2 linked regions of the Pelodiscus sinensis genome follow. The protein of the gene in region 1 purifies or fractionates together with the protein of each later gene. This does not show direct contact. Links are inferred from orthologs where the notes say so. Each region holds a gene or a part of one and is shown in the gene's direction. Other genes may lie near its edges.

The links.
Region 2: the proteins of WDR76 (region 1) and NUMA1 purify together in Homo sapiens (affinity purification with mass spectrometry; 3 studies listed by BioGRID and IntAct, with this or other methods). This does not show direct contact. The link is inferred for Pelodiscus sinensis from reciprocal best matches to the Homo sapiens genes WDR76 and NUMA1.

Annotation. Positions count from the first base shown.
Region 1 is NC_134724.1:295,216-305,452, forward strand, and holds the start of WDR76 (WD repeat-containing protein 76), read left to right. Parts: upstream 1-5,401; 5' UTR 5,402-5,510; coding exon 5,511-5,558; intron 5,559-6,184; coding exon 6,185-6,598; intron 6,599-8,929; coding exon 8,930-9,022; intron 9,023-10,237. UniProt on the Homo sapiens protein: Specifically binds 5-hydroxymethylcytosine (5hmC), suggesting that it acts as a specific reader of 5hmC.
Region 2 is NC_134711.1:325,287,265-325,298,058, forward strand, and holds the start of NUMA1 (nuclear mitotic apparatus protein 1), read left to right. Parts: upstream 1-6,794; 5' UTR 6,795-6,882; intron 6,883-10,304; exon of another isoform or gene 10,305-10,391; intron 10,392-10,794. UniProt on the Homo sapiens protein: Microtubule (MT)-binding protein that plays a role in the formation and maintenance of the spindle poles and the alignement and the segregation of chromosomes during mitotic cell division.

The DNA of each region.
Region 1 (10,237 bases):
TTGCCCAGAACTGAACACAGTACTCAATTGAGGCCTAATCAGCGCAGAGTAGAGCAGAAGAATGACTTCTTGTGTCTTGCTCACAACACTCCTGTTAATGCAGCCCAGAATCATGTTTGCTTTTTTTGCAACTGTCATACTGTTGACTCCTATTTAGCTTGTGGTCCATGGTGACTCTCTAGATCTTTCTGCAGTACTCCTTTCTGGACAGTCACTTCTCATTCTGTATGTGTGAAACAGATTGTTCCTTCCTAAGTGGATTTGTCCTTATTCAACTTCATCCTATTTACCTTGGACCATTTCTCCAGTTTGTCCAGATCTTTTTGAATTTTGACCCAATCCTCTAAAGCACTTGCAACTCCTCCCAACTTGGTATCATCTGCAAACTTAATAAGCACACTCGCTATGCCAATATCTAAATCGTTGATGAAGATATTGAACATAACAGGTTCCAAAACAGTCCCGAGGAACCCCACTTGTTCTGCCCTTCCAGCATGATTGTGAACTGTTAATAACTACTCTCTAAGTCAGGGGTGTCCAAACTTTTTTCAAAGCGGGCCAGATTTGAAGAAGTGAACATGCGTCAGGGCCGTCCCCGCACTCTCAGCCCCAAGGCGGAGGGCCCGCAGGGTCGGAGGCGGGCGGAGAGCGCAGGGCACGCTGGCCTCATGGCGGCCAGGGGGCAGGGCGAACCTGCAGCCGAGCGGGGGAGCGGGGCTGCGGACGTGCCCTACAGGGCAGGCTCTAGGACCGCGGAGGCCATGGGCGGCGGCGTGGCCGGAAGCGGCGCGCTGGGCTCGCCAGTTCAAAAGAGCGCCGGGGAGCCAGGAGAGGGGGAGGAAGCGGGGGCTGTATTAAATCGGAACACGGGCCGCAATTGGCCCGCAGGCCGGACTTCGGACATGCCTGCTCTAAGTGGTTATCTAGCCAATTACACACCCACCTTATAGTAGCCCCATCAAGGTTGCATTTCTCTAGCTTATTGATAAAAATGTCATGCGAGACTGTATCAAAAGCTCTACTAAAGTCTAGGTATACCACATCCACTGCTTCTCCTGTGTCCACAAGACTTGATATCCTATGAGATTGCTTTGACATGATTTATTCTTTAAAAATCCATGCTGGCTGTTACTGGTCACCTTATTTTCTTCCAGATGTTTGCAGATGATTTCCTTAATTACCTGCTCCATTATCTTCCGAGGCACAGAAGTTAAACTAACTGGTCTGTAGTTTCCTGGGTTGTTGTTTCCCTTTTTATAGATGGGCACTAGATTTGCCCTTTTCCAGTCTTCTGGAATCTCTCCTGACTTCCATGAATTTTCAAAGATGATAGCTAAAGGCTCAGACACCTCCTCTATCAGCTCCTTGAGTATTCTAGGCCCTGGTGACTTGAAGACATCTAACTTTTCTAAGTAATTTTTAACTTTAACTTCTAAACCTACCCCATTTCCACTAGCATTTTCCATGTTAGGCATCCCTTCATCATCAAACTTCTTGGTGAAAAGTTTCCTCTTGTTGTTTCTCCTTCCTCACTGAGCAATGGGCTTATACTGTCCTTGGTCTTCCTTTTGCTCCTAATACATTTATAGAATATCTTCTTGTTTCCCTTTATGCCCCTAGCTAGTTTTAGCTCATTTTGTGCCTTTGCCTTTCTAATCTTGCCCCTGCATACGTGTGTTGTTGCTTATATTCATCCTTTGTCATTTGATCTAGTTTGCACTTTTTATGACTCCTTTTTGATTTTGCAAGATTGCTGTAACCAAAATGGTATTCCATGGTGGGGCAGTTTTGTTAACTGAGCTTGCGTACCTAGAATTTGTGGGGTGTGCCAACTGAACCATAGCAGTGCTTTGACTAGGTGCAAAGGGAGTACATTGCTCTGACAATCTACATTGTGTGCAAAAGCTTCAGAGGGGTAGCTGAGTTAGTCTATAGCTGGAAAAACTTAAACAACAAAGAGTCTAGCAGCACCTTAGAGAATAACAGAACATGTAGATGGTACCATGAGCTTTCGTGGGCACAGCCCACTTCTCTCCTCTTGCCCCGCACCAGATGGCTTGTAAAGTGATCACATACCACGTCTTATGGCACCTCAGAGACACAGTAAAAGCTTCAGGGGGAAGTCAGTTAGTCTGTGAGAGGAAAAACCCACTTCTTGCGCCTTAGCTTTTTCCCTCCAAGTATTACTACAGTGATAGGCATGTAAAGCGATGTGGACAAAAGCCAGCGAAATCTGGCAACCCTGCACATGGGCTATAGCAAACTATGTTTCACAGGCCACAGGTTACCCACCACTTTTACAGAAGTTTAGTGATTAATCATTGTAAGAGTGCTTTCTGTGAGCACTGCCTCTCTGATCTCACACACACAACTATGTGATGTTGCTCAAAACCATTTACCAGCTGTGATGGCTGGAGCCATAAACCTCATTGACCATACTTACAAAGGACGATATCCTTCATTAACTCTAGGTCAGCTAGATGGTCTTGAATTGTTTTCTACACAAAATCTAGGTCTCAGTACGAGTATTAGTTTTAGGTGTTAGATTTAGCTGTCTTCTGTTTGATTGTATTGGATATTTCCCCATGTCTGCTGGGTTTAGCAGCCCCTTGGGTTATCTGAAGGCCTTGTCTAGAATGTGTGTGAAACTTTGTGGTCTGCTCATACAGCGCCTATGTGTATGACAAAGGGCATTCTTTGGATCTTGGATTGTGCTGTCCTTTCCTGCAGAGGTTCAGAAAACCCTCTGTCCTCTTGAGAGCTGAACAGTCTCCATGTAGTGCAATTTATCAAGTGTGGAGGTATTGCCTTTCACCCCTATGCAGTTATTTAAATGCTTCAGAGATTTTTAAGATCAGAAAGGACTATTCAGACTCTCCTGCTCTTATTTCTAGTTTAAATTTGTCTAACTTAATTCCTTGCTTTGTTTTCTAGCTTTAAAAACATTTGGTAAATTCTGCTCTCTGAGTAGATGCTTGTAGACCACAATCAAGTCACCACTTAATCTTCTCTGTTGATAAACTAAATAGATCTTTCTTTAGTTTCATTAAAGCAGGTTTTTCATACTGCTAATCAAAGCTGTTTTCTGAACTCCCTCCAGTTTGTCAGCATAGGCTTCTTCCCATACATTGGCTTCACTTCCACCCTACCTAGGTTATTACATGGACTTCTCCACCTCTCCTAGGCAATGGAAAAACACAGAAATTCCCATATTTAAGATTCTCAATGAGATGACCAACATATGTGGTACTATAGATATACTTCCTGTGTTCCCACTGGTCATACATGCACATTAAACAAGCAAAAAAAACCAACCCCCACTTCAGTTGTACAGAACACCAGGCATTTCCTTGGCAAGGACCCATTCATTACCTTCTCGAAGATTTCCAAAGAGGAAGGGAAGAGTCTACTTAAAGGGTCCCTTGCCCACTTGTGAGTTTCCGAACTCAAATCAAAATGATGTGGATTCATGTTTCCAAAATCTGATAAATCTAAGAGACAACTGTGACGTAGTGGGGGTACCTGGCTGGTTTCTATGCTGCTGGCTCTGGGGTAACCCCCACTGGCTGCTGTGGGTACCACGACCCAGCAAAACAGGATGAGTCACTATGCAAACCAGTATGGCCAGACACCCCCCATGGAGAGGAACAGAGGAAGGTGGAATGCTGCCCTGGCTGGGGGGCAGGGCTGGAAGAGGGTTAGTTAGTTGCTGGCTGGGAGCATGGAGGAGACAGCCTAGGGAAAGGGGCTGGAATTTAGGGGCCCAGTCTCCCCCATCTCAAGGGGGCCTGAGGCAGCCTAGCCCAGCTCTGTGACCAGATTACATCTGTGCTGTGCTGTAACCTGGAGAGGCAATAAACTTCCTCTATTCCACCGGCTGGTGGAGTCTGTTTGTGCCATTTCGGGGTGCAGGAGACAGGGGACCCCCAACGTGCCGTCACAACTACTTACTGTCCTTCATTGCCAGAAGTTCTCATTCATATTTCCCTGGAGTTAATATTTAAGACTCTCAATGAGATGACGACAAACATCCTATTTTCCATCCTCATCTGGCAACACTGTTTAACCCGCTGAGGATAGTAAAGTCCCTCACCTGATCTCTACTCAACTCCTACATTTTCCAGTGCAGTACTGAGGCAGGTTTTGAATGAGCCAGGCAATGTGCTTTTTACCCATATGGTGCCATGCTATTCTAGTCTGATTGGCCATTACCACTGATTACATTTCATCCCATTATTTTTACCTATTACTCCTCCCTCATTAAATGCTTACTTTCTAATCCATCTCAATCACCACAGGATTATGTGCTTGCAGAAGCATGTTACTCCAGCTTGATTTTATTGAGTGTATGCTAAGACATTCCTGGGCCTCTGGCTAGAATTGCCAACTTGCTACTGACACACAAATGAACACACTTGCCTCCTGTTGTGTGCGTGCTCCATCCTGCCCTCATTTTCACCAGGCTGGCTCAGAGGGTTGGGGTGTAGGAGGGGGTGAGACCTCTGGCAAAGGGTATGGGGTGGGGCCAGAAAAGAGGTGTTCCAGGTGTGGGTAATATCCTGAGGCAGGGAATTAGGATGGGGACTGTAAGGGCTCTGGCTCGGGGCACATGGGGATGAGAGGTTTGGGGCTGCAGGAAGGGGCTCCCAGCTGGGGGATGGGACTGAGGGTTCAGGGTGGGGGCTCTGAGGGTTAGGCAGGGGGTAGGGATGCCAGTGAGACGGGGATCGGAGTTGGGTGGGGCTCCTGGCTCAGGCAGGGGGTTTGGGTGGGGCGAGGTGTCTGGGGCTCCCAGCAGAGAGGTGGGGCGAGGGAATCGGAGTTGGGAGGGGCTCAGTGCTGAGGCAGGGGGTTGGGGTGAGGGCTTCTAGGCTGAGGCAGGGGGTTCGGATGTGTGTGTGGTCCTGGGCTGATGCAGGGGGTTGGGGTGGGGGGGTTGGGATACGGGGGGGGGGGCAGAGGGGGTGTTGAGATTAGGGGTTGCCAGGTGTCCGGTATTGACCCGGACAGGCCGGTATTTTTGCCTCCTGTCTGGTAAAAAAAAATTCCGAAAATACCCAACACCTAAAATGTCCGGTGTTTTCTGATCCTCTCCCCTGCCAGGAAGCGAAACTACCAAACACCTGGCAACCCTACAACACTCAGCCCCGCCCCTGCCGCCCCCCAAAGGCTTGTCTTAAAGGGGCCATGCTGCTTTATTTTTAATTTATTTTTTTGCTTAATAATTCTCGGGGGGGGGGGGCTTTTTTTTTTGCTCAACTTTGGCCTCCCCCTTTTTTTTCCTCAACAGACTCCCCTCCTGTGCGCTGCAGTATGACCGGTTAACCCGGCTGGGAGCGCCCCGGACCCGCCCAGGCTCGAGCGAGCAGCCCTCGGGCCACGTGCGGCCCCGCTGCTGGGGGCGGGGCGGGGCATCCGAGCGGCCCCGCCCCCTGAGGGGAGCGGCCCCGCCCCCTTGCCTCAGCGGGAAGCGAGGCCCCGCCCCGCCGCTCTCCCGCGCTGCCGAGGCGATGCCGCGCGCCGGGGCTGAGGAGCCGTTGGCCCGGCAGCGGGAGCAGGTGGGTGCCCGGGCCGGCCGCGCGGGGGGGCGGGGAGGGGATTCTGGGCCCCGTCCCCGGACCCCGTCGGGCCAAGTCCCCCCCTTGTCCGGGCTCCTGCTGAGGGGGGGGGGCAGAGCCCGCCGGGCGCGGGCCGGATGCGGGCTCGCGAGCGCGGCGCCGGGCGGTGGGGGGGCCGCGCGCGCGCCAGGTGTGAGGGCCCCGCCCCGGGGGCAAGGAGCGCGCGCCGCGTCTGGCGTCCCCAGCAGCCGCGCTCCTGGTCCCGGCGCCGCGCGGGCTCTGCCCCCTGCCGGGCTGCCTACGCGTCTCCCCTGCAGAGCAGCTGGCGCCCCGCATGCTCCTTGGGTTTAAAGAGCGGTCCCCGACACGGCGCCACCGGGGCCAGCCCGAGCCATTCGTGTGTCCCCGGGAGCCCCCCCCAGGTGCCCGGAAACCCCAAAGGTTGTGAGCCCTGGTTCAAAGCTACAGACTAACAGTCACCCCACTTCTAGAAACCTGCCCTGGGCGCTGCTGTTAAAATGTTCCCGGGGCTAGTTATGTGCAGTCAGCTGATTGGAGACCAGTTACAGGAGCGGCCTTCTAGCAGAGTGTTCCTTTGTATTTTTTTTTCCACTTCATTTGTGTAGGAGCGTACACCGAAAGAAAACCCCAGCATGAGCTATGTATCAGACAAAGCTGAAAAAAGAGCAGTTTTTGGAAAACAAGTGAAAGTTCTTCTCACCCCCTTATTCACGGAAGGAGAGAAATGCAACAAACGTCTGCCCCAGAAACGCTTACTGGAAAAGTTTTCTAGTAATGAGGGCTCGTCAGAAAGAGAACCAAAAGTCAAAAAATCCTGTGATGATCTCACAAGTCTGCAAATAAGAGATGAATCCTACAAGGCTTCTTCCAGTCCACAAGAAGTAATCCCCGATACGTCTTCACTTCCTAATCAGAGTAGCATGGTGTCATCCACAAACACCTCAGTTATGGTTGATCGTGATTCAGAAACCAATGGGGACACAGACCATGAAGGAAGCAATTTGGATACCTCTTATCTGGTAAGAAGTCAAACACTGACTATTTTAGTGACTATGTACTTTTTCACACCTGCCAAGGGAGATGAGAAGCAAAAGGGGCAACTTCCCTGGTGCCTGGCAAATCAAAAAGGCTTGGGGTAGGCATGGCATGCTGGGAGAGACACTGAGGCTGTCTGAGGGAAGCTAGTCCCAGCCCTGCCTCTTCTGCCTGAGGCTCCACCCATTCCAGGGGTGTAGAGGGGACCAGAGAGTCTTTTGGCCCCACTGTCCTCTTAACTTTTTCAATATATTCTTAGCCTAGCCCTCCATTTATCCTATTTGGCATTTTTCACATTTTGAAATTTTCACATTTTGAAACTTCAAGAATTGATGACCTTATCTATAAGGAACTGTTTGCTCCCTAGAAAACATCAGAGAATAAAATTCTGCTGTTTTTAAGGAAATGCAGTGATTTACTTCATTTTTTTAAGATAGAAAAATAAGATCATGTTTTTTCATAGTTATTCAAGACGAATTATTCATTTTTACATTGCCCTCTGGATTAGATTTTTGGCTTACCAATATATATAGTTTTGTTTTTATTGGTTGTAGGTAAATATTACTGTTTACTTAGCATAATTAATGTTAAAATACTTGGTAACATATGAGAAGAATGGGCCTGAAGTTCCCCACCCCTGATTTAAAGAGTCTAGTAAAGACTTGCAAAATTAAACGCTGAAGTCAATCACGTCAACCACTGTACTCCTTACTTGAGGAGTAAGGGAAGTTAAGGGGAGTGTTTCTCCTGTTGACCTCCCTCTGTGTGGTGCCAGGAAATCGATGCAATTTATATAGCTGGAGTTCCATATTTTGCATCGATTTTTCTCCTCAAGAGTAGTCCTACCCTTAGATTGCAAGCTCTTTCCAGCTAATTCTGCCTTTTGTTCTGTAGTTGTAGAGGGCTGAGCACAATGGGTTCCTAGTCCATGACGAGGGCTCCTAAGTGCATTGGAAATCCAAATAATGGTTTTCAGAATGTACCATGTTTCCCTTATTTTGTAAGGTGACAAGAAATAGCACACAGCTTATTCCATTTACAGCCAGTATTTGGCTTATGAGTATATCTGAATAATTCCACTCTTATGAAAAAGTTAGTTACCTTTAGTTCTGAAAAGGAGTCAATTAATTTTTCTCTTCACAATAGTGAAGACAGCTATTATAAGACAGTCTAACACTGGTATTTTTGTACACTCTTCAGTGTATATAATTGCCTCGTGTTGTATGTTTTCGTTTCTTGTTTATCAGTGTAATATTAATTTGATTATTGAATAATTTTAACATCCATAAAGAACTTTGATACAATCTTTAAAACTCCCTAAGTGTGTGTCTGAGCTGTATGTATAAAACACTCCTATTCTGATACAAAATCATCTTGGCTTCTGTTGCTACATGAAATTAATAAAGGTTTTCTGAAGTTAGTGTACTGACTAGCTCCCTCACATTTTTCTTTAGCTCTTCAAAGTTCAGCAGGTGTGCTTTTAAGAAATGTAATTCCTTAAATATCAGTCTTTGGGGCTAGTGTTGTTTTATTCTTTCCTGTGACTGTATATCTTTATGGGGGGCAGAGAGAATGCTTCTGCAGTACAGTAAAATGAGGACTCTACAGCTTCTTTTTGTATTAAGGGCAAAATGCAAATTGCTAGTGACTGACCACGCTAATTGAACTCTGTTAAAGTACTACGGGTTGGACCTCCTTGGTCCAGCACCTTTGGGACCTGACCTATTCTGAATGAGGGAATTTGCTGGATCAGGGGAGCTCCCCTGCCACCGGCCTCACAGGACACTGCCCCTTCCTCTGGTTGGCTCTGCTCCAGCCCTGCTGGGACAGGGGTTGGGCTCGGCTCTGGCCCTGTTTGGGGCTTTCCGGTGATGGAGCTCCCCAGCTGCCATGGCCCTATTTGTCCTGCCTGGCTGGGGCTTCCCGGGGATAGGGCTCTGTGGCTGCCCCCACCGGGGTCTGGGTACTAGAGTTGTCTGATCCAGCAACATCTGTGATCCTGCTGGACCAGGGAGCCCCAGATTTAGGAGATTCAACCTGTACTGTCTAGTGAGTGTGATGTTTTGTTCTTATTCCTCCCAATTCATATTTTTACACTTGTTTGGAAATGGAGAAATATCAAGTACTCCTTAAAGTAAAATTTATTATAAGAGATGCTTGGAACCTAAAATCTTGTCTCTTTATTTAAAGAAAAAGAGGCCATGTAACTTTATACAGAGAAGTATTGTCTCAACACTTCAGGCCTCTTAATGCACTCTGTGTACTGTCTTAAATGTTTGTGTACTGTCTTTATTACTGTTGTTTGTTTGGTGCAGGATGGATCTTCACAGCTGTCAGCCTATGAAAGAAAAAGACTGAAGAACATTATGGAAAATGCTAATTTCTTTGCTTCTCTAAAGCTGCTTGAGGTTTGTATTATGTCTGCCTAGAATAAGACCAAAATAATCATTCTAAATGTAATAGAAATTACCATACCAAAACTCACCCATAGTTCATTTAGTTATTAAATATGTCTCTAACAGTGTCCTACACCAGACACTTAAAAAAAACGCATAAAAATTTCATAACACAGCTGACTTGCAATGATATATCAGTGATCAGATTATGCTTTACACAGACTCTTTGATAGGACTTTAATTTGAATGGGATTTCATTCATTAATATTTATAAAGTACTCAAGTGCAGTCTATGCATTGGAAGAAGTAATCCAAACAAGTTAAGATTGTGACATTTTTAATGTTATCGACAGACACAGATACTCTTTTTCTCCTTTCCATATTCCTTTTCCTGTGTACTGTTCTGTTATTTCTCATAGGTCCACTCTTTGGCATTAAGAAGTAACTTTCTTCCTTGGAAGTCCACTCTTTTGCTCACTCAGAGCTGGCTCTGAGTCCCAGGTGCAGAAGCACAGAGTGATTAGAGAAAATCCCTCTAGTTGTTTCTGAGGAGCTAGCATGAGACGTGTTTAACCTCCCCAATTTCATCTGGCACATTGGACACCTACCTGTGCACACAAACTGCTCTAGAGTTCTGTATGTCTAAGGAAACGAAACAGTGAACAAGCATTCAGCTCTCTTCCAAATTGTTCTTTATCTTTGCATTTGTATGTTAATTCAAGTCCTCTACTGATGATAATTTTTGTGAGTAAAACTGCTGATAGTATAGCGCTTATATCTACCAATCTTCTTTTGAGTCTTACACTAGATGTGCAACTGATGAGTATATTTTATAAACAGTTGGCTAGATCTCTTCTAGTCCTATGGATTCTGTGAAGAGACAGACACATCTCATGTTATCGAGACTATTTCTGAAAGGCGTTTCTCTAACCTGCTCTTAAAAATCTCCAGCGATGGAGATTCTGTAGTGTCCCTAGGCAGCTTACTCCATTGTTTAACCATCCTGACAGGAGGTTTTTCCTAATGTCTAATCTAAACCTCCCTTGCTGCAATTTAAGCCCATTGCTTCCATCCTATCCTTAGAGGTCAAGAAAAACAATTCTCTCCCCTCGTCCCCTGCTTGTAACAACCTTTTAGGTACTTGAAAATGGTTATCATGTTCCCTCTGTCTTTTCTAGACTAAACAAACCCAGTTCTTTCAGTCTTCCTTCATAGGTCATGTTTATA
Region 2 (10,794 bases), on another chromosome or scaffold:
AAAGGAATTTACCTTCAATCTCCCCCGCAGCCTGGCGCTCCCCCCTTAAGCACGGCTAAGGTTTTGGCTTTTGCCCTGGGGCCGAGGGCAACCAGCAGGGCCCTGGCATTCCTGTGACCCCCCCTTCCCCCCGCCAGCCTCCTTAGGCCGCCCTCCTCAGTGTTCCAGAGGCAGGCAACAGACTCAGGGAGGAGGGGCGCTTGGGCGAGTAGATGGGGTGTCCTGTCTTCTCTTTGAGAAATATGGTCACCCTGCAGCTCCCAGCTGCCGTAGCAGATGGAGAGGGGAGCCCTGCCCCTGCCCTGAGCCCTCCCACCTCTGCCTTAATTCCTATACCCCCACCCTGAGCCCTCCACTCCTCTCAACCCTCTGCTCTGACTCCTGCACCCTCTATAACCCAGCCCCCAGCTCTGACTCCTGCACCTTCCATAACCCAGCCCCCGGCTCTGACTCCTGCACCCTCTATAACCCAGCCCCCAGCTCTGACTCCTGCACCCTCTATAACCCAACTCCTGGCTCTGACTCCTGCATCCCCCACATTAGGGATGTAAAATCCTATTTAACTGGTTAACCAGTTTAACCAGTTAACCAATTAAAGGGGGAGCACTCCAGGTTAGGGTGTGTTTGTGGGGGGCTCTGCCAGCAGCACCGCAGATCGGGGCCTGCTCCTGGGGTTAACCGTTATCTGGTAAGCATTAGCCACTAAGGTAACCAGTTAACCCGTTTACATTCCTACCCCACATCCCAACCCCCCTGCCCTGAGCGCCCTGCACTCCACCCACCCCCAAGGGGAAGGCGTTGCAATTTGACAGTACCTGTAAGAAATGTAAGTTACTTTCCCCCCCGACAGGGCTAACGTGGCCTGTGGCTGCATAAAGAGAGGAGCGGTGAGTCGGGGTGGAGGCGAATTCCCCTCTGCCAGTGGCAAGACTAGATACTGATCCCCTAACAGCCGACACTGCCTCCAGTGCGGGTGCCCCATTTGTAAAAGCGTGTTTAAAACTTGAATGATCCGTGGGCTGGGAAAAAGGCCTGGGTGTGAGAGACATTCAAGCCGGACACACTGAAATGAGAAAAATGGCATCCAACGCGAGGGTTCACTGGCGAGGGCAACCAGGCATTGGAACAAACTCGCCAGGGAAAAGGTGGATTCTCCGTCTCTTCGAGCCAGGCCTTTCCGGAAAGTGCGTTTGCCAAACCCAAATTAACACCCCCAGCACAGGCAGGGTGAAATCCTCTGGCCTGTGCTATGCAGAAGGGCCAATGAATCCATGGAAGGGCAGCCATGCTGTTGTGGCTCGCTTCCCAGCATGGTTGTGAGGTTCTGGCTAGCCCGGAGGATTGCTATTCTCCACAGCTTTGCCCTTGCAGCCCTCAGCCTCTTCATGCCCGAGGAAACGCCTTTGCCGCAGCGTGCTGATTCCCCACAGGTTGTTTACTCTTCTGAGAGCTGGTTTTCAAACTGTGCTTCTCAGTTCACAAGCGCTTGAGGACCACCAGCCCTGGGCACGTCTCACGCATTTTCTGTGCAAAGGGCTCAAAGCTGCTTAAAACGTTCACTCAGCTTCCCAAGCGTATCACTGGGGAGCACCACGTAGGGATTGTAGGGTTCCAGCTCCCCTGCGCAAAGCATCTAACAATGCCCCAGAGATCACTGTGATCAAAATGATTAAAGGTCTCGAAAACAGGAGCTATGGGGGAAGACTGAAAGAATTGGGCTTGTTTAGTTTGGAAAAGAAAAGACTGAGAGGGGACATGGCAGCGGTTTTCAAGTATCTAAACATTTGTTACAAAGAGGAGGGAGAAAAATGTTCTCCTTGGCCTCTGAGGATAGGACAAGAAGCGATGGGCTTAAATTGCAGCCAGGGACGTTTAGGTTGGACCTTAGGAAAAACTTCCTACCTGTCAGGGTGGCTAAACACTGGAATGAATTGCCCAGGGAGGTTGTGGAATCTTCATCATTGGAGACATTTAAGAGCAGGTTCAACAGCCTCCTGTCAGGGATGATCTAGACAGTGCTTGGTCCTCACATGAGGGCAGGGGACTAGACTTAATGACCTTGCGAGGTCCCTTCCAGTTCTAGTATTTTATGATTCTATAAGTCACTGTGCCACTGAAATCAGCCACGCCTGGAGCAGAACAGCAGCCACCTGGCATGCAGCAGAAGAGTGGATGGCATTACAGGGGACACTTTCGAAAATGTCTACTCTGCAAATAGCACCACAGGACTGGTGATGTCCTTTGTGCAGCGAGGATCCTTCTGAAAGACATGGAGAGCTGGTCTCCCATGTTGGAGCCAGAGCCCTTTAATACAGGTCTCTCTCGGTTTCAGGGGTGCTCACACTCTTCTCAAGGCTGGGAAAACAACAATTACCACACAAAGGATCACCACAGAGCGTGGGGCTGACCAGATCTGAGTGAGGACAGAGTGTGGTCTGGCAATTGGGATATGGACACCAATTCCTAGAGCCTTCTAAATCCGTGGATATCTGCTCTCTATCCACGGGTATCCACATCCGCAGATGTGAATGCAGCTATCCGTGCATCATTTTTCATAGAATCACAGAATCACACTAGGACTGGAAGGGACCACGAGAGGTCATCGAGTCCAGTCTCCTGCTCTCATGGCAGGACCAATTTTTGCAGACCAGATACCAGTTTTGTATCTGCACAGGGCTCCACCATACTGTCCATTGCCTGGGAGATTTGTAGGCTACCAGCACTTTAAGGTACTCTGATACCAGGGTGAGGACTGAGGAGGTCCATATAAGAACCTGTCTTGCCTAGTTATGGGAAGAGCTGCCATGCTTTCCGTTCAGTCATGCCAGAAATGGATGCTGCTTCATCATAAGAACATAAGAATGACCACACTGGGTCAGACCAAGGGTCCATCTAGCCCAGTGTCCTGTCTGCTGACAGTGGCCAATGCCAGATGTCCCAGAGGGAGGGAACAGAACAGGGAATCACCAAGAGATCTCTCCCCTGTCACCCATTTCTAGACTCTGACAAACAGAGGCCAGGGACACCCTCCCTGCCCGTCCTGGCTAATAACCATTGATGGACCTAACCTCCAGAATGTATCTAGTTCTTTTTTGGACCCTGTGAAAGTCCTGGTCTGCACAATTTCCTGTTTGCTTTTTTGATGGCTGCTGCACACTGTGTGGATGATTTCAGAGAACTATCCACAATGACTCCAAGATCTCTCTCCTGAGTAGTTGTAGCTAAATTAGTCCCATCACTTTATATGTGTAGTTGGGATTATTTTTCCAATGTGCATTGGTATCGATCAACATTAAAATTCATTTGCCATTTTATTGCCCAATCATAGTTTTGAGAGATCCTTTTAAAGCTCTTGCCAGTCTTCTTTGGTCTTAAGTATCTTGAGCAGTTTAGTAACCTTTGCAAATTTTGCCACCTCACTGTTTACCCATTTCACCAGACCATTTAAATAGGTTAAATAGGATTGGTCCCTGTACGGACCCTTGGGGGCACCACTAGTTACCTCTCTCCATCAGAAGTGAGGCCCAGGGAACCGGGAAGTTGACTGCAGCTGCACACCCAAGCTGCTGCCTGCACAGAGTTGCACACCCAGTTCACAGAGCTGCACGCTCTGTGACATCATAGATTTATATTTACAGCACTGTGATTTCACATGGCATGCCCTTGAATAATTAGTATGCTCAGAACCTGGCTTTTCACACACACTTTGTTCTGGCATCGCCTTTCACACTCATCAAGCAATTACCTGGATTTTCACACACACACTCCAGTGTCCTGCACAGATTTTCACACCCACTAGCCTCAGAGCCCACTTTTCAAACTCACTAGTGTCCTGAAGATTTTGACGCCCACTAGCTCCAGACATCTTTGTTCACATTCACCAGAGCCTTGCACAGATTTTCATGCCTACTAGTCCTGGTCCCCTTCTCTCACACACACACTTGCAAAGATTTTCACAGTCAGTAGGGGCTGCAGTGTTCTGGCCCCCAGTGGCTCTATGGCTGTGTCCCGACTCCATGCCTCCGTCGACGGAGGCATGTAGATTAGCCAGCTCGGAAGAGGGAAATGAAGCCGCGATTAAAATAATCGCGGCTTCATTTAAATTTAAATGGCTGCCCCGATCTGCCGATCAGCTGTTTGTCGGCAGATCGGGAGAGTCTGGACGCGATGCCCCGACAAAGAAGCCTTTCTTCATCGACACAGGTAAACCTGGTTTCACGAGGCTTACCTGTGTCGATGAAGAAAGGCTTCTTTGTCGGGGCATCGCGTCCAGACTCTCCCGATCTGCCGACAAACAGCTGATCGGCAGATCGGGGCAGCCATTTAAATTTAAATGAAGCCGCGATTATTTTAATCGCGGCTTCATTTCCCTCTTCCGAGCTGGCTAATCTACATGCCTCCGTCGACGGAGGCATGGAGTCTGGACACAGCCTATGTGCTGCTGCCCCCGCTAGGCAGAAGCAGCAAGCACCAGGAAGTGCCATCTGTATGCTTGCCTCACCTGAAGGCTCTGCCCCCATAGCTTCTATTAGCAGAAATCCACAACCAATGGGAGCTGCGGGGAGGAGGAGGGGGGGTTGCTGGCAAGCACAGGGCAGCGCATAGAGCCACCTGCTCCCTCCCCTCCCCAGGGCCTGCTCCACTAGAGGGGAGCTGCCGCAGGGAAGTACCTTGCATCCCAACTCCCTACCTGGCCTGGCCCTGAGCCCTCTACTGCATCCTAACTCCCACCCAGACCCCACATCCCTATCCCCGGAGCCCCTCTCCTGCATCCCAACTCCCACCCCAGCTCTGAGCTCCTCCTGCACCCTAATTCCCATCCCAGACCCCACACCCCACCTCCTATCTTAATCCCCCTCCTGCACCCTAACTCCACCCAGACCCTGAACCTCACCTCCTGCCCCGGCACAAATTCCTGTCCACCCCCACCTCCACCTTCCACACCTAACTCTCGCCCAGACCCTGCATTCCCATCCCCACCTCTTGAGCTGAGTCTGTTCCTGCACTCCAAAACCCCTTGGCCCCAGCCTGGAGCCTCCTTCTGCATCCCAAATCCCTTATCCCCAGCTCTACCACAGAGCCCTCACCCCCTCCTGTGCCCCAACCCTCTGCCCCCACTTGGAGCCCCCTCTTGCACTATGAACCCTTCATTTTTGGCCCCACCTAGAACCTAGGGAGACCCACAAAATCTAATAGCCCTGGGCCCCAAAAGAGTTAATCCATCCCTGTCTCCAGACTTCTCTTTTCACACCCACCAGAACCCTGCACAGATTTGCACACCCACTGGTTCCAGGCATCTCATTTCACACCCACCAGAGCTCTGCACAGATTTGCATACCCACTGGTTCCAGACTTCTCCTTTCACACCCACTAGAGCCCTGCACAGATTTGCACACCCACTGGTTCCAGGCATCTCCTTTCACCCGCACCAGAGCCCTGTACAGATTTACACACCTACTGGTTCCAGACTTCTCCTTTCACACCCACCAGAGCCCTGCACAGATTTGCACACCCACTGGTTCCAGGCATCTCCTTTCACACTCACCAGAGCCCTGCACAGATTTGCACACCCACTGGTTCCAGACTTCTCCTTTCACACCCACCAGAGCCCTGCACAGATTTGCACACCCACTGGTTCCAGACTTCTCCTTTCACACCCACCAGAGCCCTGCACAGATTTGCACACCCACTGGTTCCAGACTTCTCTTTTCACACTCACTAGAGCCCTGCACAGATTTACACACCTACTGGTTCCAGACTTCTCCTTTCACACTCACCAGAGCCCTGCACAGATTTGCACACCCACTGGTTCCAGACTTCTCCTTTCACACTCACCAGAGCCCTGCACAGATTTGCACACCCACTGGTTCCAGACTTCTCCTTTCACCCCCACCAGAGCCCTGCACAGATTTGCACACCCACTGGTTCCAGACTTCTCCTTTCACCCCCACCAGAGCCCTGCACAGATTTGCACACCCACTGGTTCCAGACTTCTCCTTTCACACTCACCAGAGCCCTGCACAGATTTGCACACCCACTGGTTCCAGACTTCTCCTTTCACACTCACCAGAGCCCTGCACAGATTTGCACACCCACTGGTTCCAGACTTCTCCTTTCACACCCACCAGAGCTCTGCACAGATTTGCACACCCACTGGTTCCAGACTTCTCCTTTCACACCCACCAGAGCCCTGCACAGATTTGCACACCCACTGGTTCCAGACTTCTCCTTTCACACTCACCAGAGCCCTGCACAGATTTGCACACCCACTGGTTCCAGACTTCTCCTTTCACACCCACCAGAGCCCTGCACAGATTTGCACACCCACTGGTTCCAGACTTCTCCTTTCACACCCACCAGAGCCCTGCACAGATTTACACACCCACTGGTTCCAGACTTCTCCTTTCACACCCACCAGAGCCCTGCACAGATTTGCACATCCACCAGCCCCTGGCCCCTCTTTTCACACTCAGTGCAAACATTTTCACACTCACCATCTCTGCTCCTCTCTGCCCCCCTATCTGGAACTCGCGGGGTCGCTATGGTAACCAGCATCACAGCAAAAATTCCACCCCGCCCACACTCCGCAAGGCGCGCTGGGAAACGTAGTTGCCGGGAGGTCTTTGGGAACCACATTTCCCAGGGGGCCTGGTGGCGAGAGTTCCCTCACCTCTCGCGGGATCCACTCGGGCCTCACCGCCCATGGGCTCCTGGGAGTTGTAGTTCCTCCCCTCACGTGATCGGCGCGGGCTGACGCGCGCCCGGCCTGCAGCCAATAGGGAGGAGGGAATGGGGGGCGGCGCAGCTGTTTGAATCGGTGAGGGCCGCGGGGCCGCGCGGGGGGAAGCTGCGGGACTGGGCCGCGCCGCTTCGGGCAATACGGTAAAATACGGTAACGGGGGCCGGGGCCGCGCCGCGGGGGCGCTCGCCCCACTGGGGGAGGAGGAGCTCGGGATGGGGGAGCGGGGGCGGGGTGAGGGGGGGAACTGCGGGATGGGGGAGTTGGGGGGCAGTGATTTGGGGGGCGGGGTGATGGGGGGGAAGTGCGGGATGGGGGACTTGGAGGGGTGGTGATTTGGGGGGCGGGGTGATGACGGGGGAACTGCGGGATGGGGGAGTTGGGGGGGCGGTGATTTGGGGGGCGGGGTGATGATGGGGGAACTGCGGGATGGGGGAGTTGGGGGGGCGGTGATTTGGGGGGCAGGGTGATGATGGGGGAACTGCGGGATGGGGGAGTTGGGGGGGTGGTGATTTGGGGGGCGGGGTGATGGGGGGGAAGTGCGGGATGGGGGACTTGGAGGGGTGGTGATTTGGGGGGCGGGGTGATGACGGGGGAACTGCGGGATGGGGGAGTTGGGGGGGCGGTGATTTGGGGGGCGGGGTGATGACGGGGGAACTGCGGGATGGGGGAGTTGGGGGGGCGATGATTTGGGGGGCGGGGTGATGGGGGGAAGTGTGGGATGGGGGAGTTGGGGGGCGGTGATTTGGGGGGCGGGGTGATGGGGGGAAGTGCGGGATGGGGGACTTGGAGGGGTGGTGATTTGGGGGGCGGGGTGATGACGGGGGAACTGCGGGATGGGGGAGTTGGGGGGGCGGTGATTTGGGAGGTGGGGTGATGGGGGGGAAGTGTGGAATGGGGGACTTGGAGGGGTGGTGATTTGGGGGGCGGGGTGATGACGGGGGAACTGCGGGATGGGGCAGTTGGGGGGGCGGTGATTTGGGGGGCGGAGTGATGGGGGGAAGTGTGGGATGGGGGAGTTGGGGGGTGGTGATTTGGGGGGCGGGGTGATGGGGGGAAGTGTGGGATGGGGGAGTTGGGGGGCGGTGATTTGGGGGCGGGGTGATGAGGGGGAACTGTGGGATGAGGGAGTTGCGGGGCGGTGATTTGGGGGGCGGGGTGATGGGGGGGAAGTGCGGGATGGGGGACTTGGAGGGGTGGTGATTTGGGGGGCGGGGTGATGACGGGGGAACTGCGGGATGGGGGAGTTGGGGGGGCGGTGATTTGGGAGGTGGGGTGATGGGGGGGAAGTGTGGAATGGTGGAGTTGGGGGGGTGGTGATTTGGGGGGCGGGGTGATGGGGGGGAAGTGCGGGATGGAGGAGTTGGGGGGGCGGTGATTTGGGAGGTGGGGTGATGGGGGGGAAGTGTGGAATGGTGGAGTTGGGGGGGGGGTGATTTGGGGGGCGGGGTGATGGGGGGGAAGTGCGGGATGGAGGAGTTGGGGGGGTGGTGATTTGGGGGGCAGGGTGATGATGGGGGAACTGCGGGATGGGGAGTTGGGGGCAGGGTGATGGGGGAACTGCGGGATGGGGGAGTTGGGGGGGCGGTGATTTGGGAGGTGGGGTGATGGGGGGGAAGTGTGGAATGGGGGAGTTGGGGGGTGGTGATTTGGGGGGCGGGGTGATGGGGGGGAAGTGCGGGATGGAGGAGTTGGGGGGGTGGTGATTTGGGGGGCAGGGTGATGATGGGGGAACTGCGGGATGGGGAGTTGGGGGCAGGGTGATGGGGGAACTGCGGGATGGCGGAGTTGGGGGGCGGTGATTTGGGGGGCGGGGTGATGATGGGGGAACTGCGGGATGGGGAGTTGGGGGCAGGGTGATGGGGGAACTGCGGGATGGCGGAGTTGGGGGGTGGTGATTTGGGGGCGGGGTGATGACGGAACTGCGGGATGGGGGAGTTGGGGGGCGGTGATTTGGGGGGCGGGGTATGACGGGGGAACTGCGGGATGGGGGAGTTGGGGGGCGGTGATTTGGGGGGCGGGGTATGACGGGGGAACTGCGGGATGGGGGAGTTGGGGGGCGGTGATTTGGGGGGCGGGGTGATGATGGGGGAACTGTGGGATGAGGGAGTTGCGGGGCGGTGATTTGTGGGGCGGGGTGATGACGGGGGAACTGTGGGATGAGGGAGTTGGGGGGGTGGTTTGGGGTGGCTAAGAGGATGGTGTTGAGAGGGGGCTAAAGGGGTGCGTGGCCTTCGGGGGTTACCTGTCCCCAGACAGCTGGGTCCCTGCAGCCTGTCTCTTCTGTGCTCCTCTCAGGACCGTGCTTGAGGAGCTGAACTGCTCCCGTCCTGACCTGCAGGCGCCCCCAAGACACTGCAGTCCCTGGTGTCAACCTTGGACAAGTGCCTGCCCTTCCACCCATGGCTGGCAGGGAAACTTCCTGCTGTCATTTCCCTGCCAGGCAGCTATGCCCTGCCAGCAAGGGGCAATCAGTTTTACTCCTACCCGCCTGCCTGGCAGCCAACTGCGTTTTCAGGGGATTTCCCCCCCAACATCTGCAAAAGCTGGCTGAAAATACCCCGTTCTGTGGTCTGTGCCTAGCCGGATAAAGCTTGTGGAGTGCGCTTGGCAGAGACGTGGCAGAGGCTGCGGGTTGGCTTGGTCTGTGTCATTCTGCAAGTGTGGACTGCGAGGAGGGTGTGAGTGTTGTTGAGCATGAGTTTGCTGGAGTAGCTCCATGCACAGGAATGGACAGATGTTATCCACACTTCTCCTGTGCAACTTCATGGTCTGAGAGGCTCCTCTGTTTTCTTGAATGGCTCCAATTTAATCTGTCCAGTAAGCTGTCCTTGCTTTGAGCCACTCCACCACGGAAGGTGCACCTGTCGTGCACCTGACACTCCTGTACTTTTGGCCCCTCACCCTTTCTCCAGATTGTGAGCATGTCTGAGATGCCAAACAGTCCCTGAGAAGGGGACTGTTGTCTCTCTTCCTAGCATGATTTTAATTACTTGGCAAACTACTTGCCTGTACCTCTGTCAGGAAACACCTCAAGCATTATTTTGAGTGATTCTCCCCCTCTCCCACACACTACATTTGTTGGTAGCTCCTGCCAAGATCTGTGGACTTGAGCCCAGTTTGGGGGAGCGGGGTGCTCTGTGGGGCAGCATAGCCTAACTTCAAAAGACAGATATTTTAGGGTGACCTCTCTGGTAGCACTCTCTGTTTTGCCAGCCTCCTGTTAGATCCTTTCCAAGCTCACTTCCTCTCTTGACTTGTGCCTGTTGTGCCTCTGATCCAAGAGATACACTACAGATCTGGAATCCGCAGAAGACATTTCTGCTCCTTGTTGGTGCATGTTAGTGTCTCCTGTTGGAGGAGGTGGGCTTGCTCTCCTTTTATGTTGTGGGAAAAGTGTGCATATTTAAAGGAGCTGAGGCATTCTGGCAAGGAGTTTTTGAGAGGTGTCCATATAATATTAATACCCCGCCTTTACTTGTGCCCGCCAGAGAGACTCTACTGTTTCATATCAAGTCCTAAAATCTTGTCTCCTCTCCCTACCCTCTGTTTTCAAGTGTCTGCTTCAGCATATACATGTGTTGGAGCTGATTGACTGGGGTTATGTAAACCGGTGTGAGTCTCCTTCCATGCAGGCTGGATTATTGGGCAGGTATGTGCAAGATCCTTGCTGTAGTTGGGTGTCTTCCAAGCAGCTTAAGATCTGTCATAGGATTGTGTGAGCTAGTCAAGAAACATGAATTCATTTTCCAACACTTCAGATATGTAATTGCCACCCGAGTCCAGGCCTGCCCAACCCCACAACATCTACACTGCTGTTTTTAGCATGCTAGCTAGGGCTGTGCCAGCACGAGTCTGTGTGCCTGAGCTGAGACCCACACACCCAAGCTGCAAGGTAGGCATACCCCCGTGACTCAGTTTCCCCAATTGTAAAATGGGGATAAGGTGCTTCAGTGGTGGGTGGAGATCTAGCACGCTCAGGTTCTTAACTGGCTCTGAACCCCTCACAATTTCAATAACAAAAAAAAAAAAACCTCTGTGAGTAGGGCAGTGTT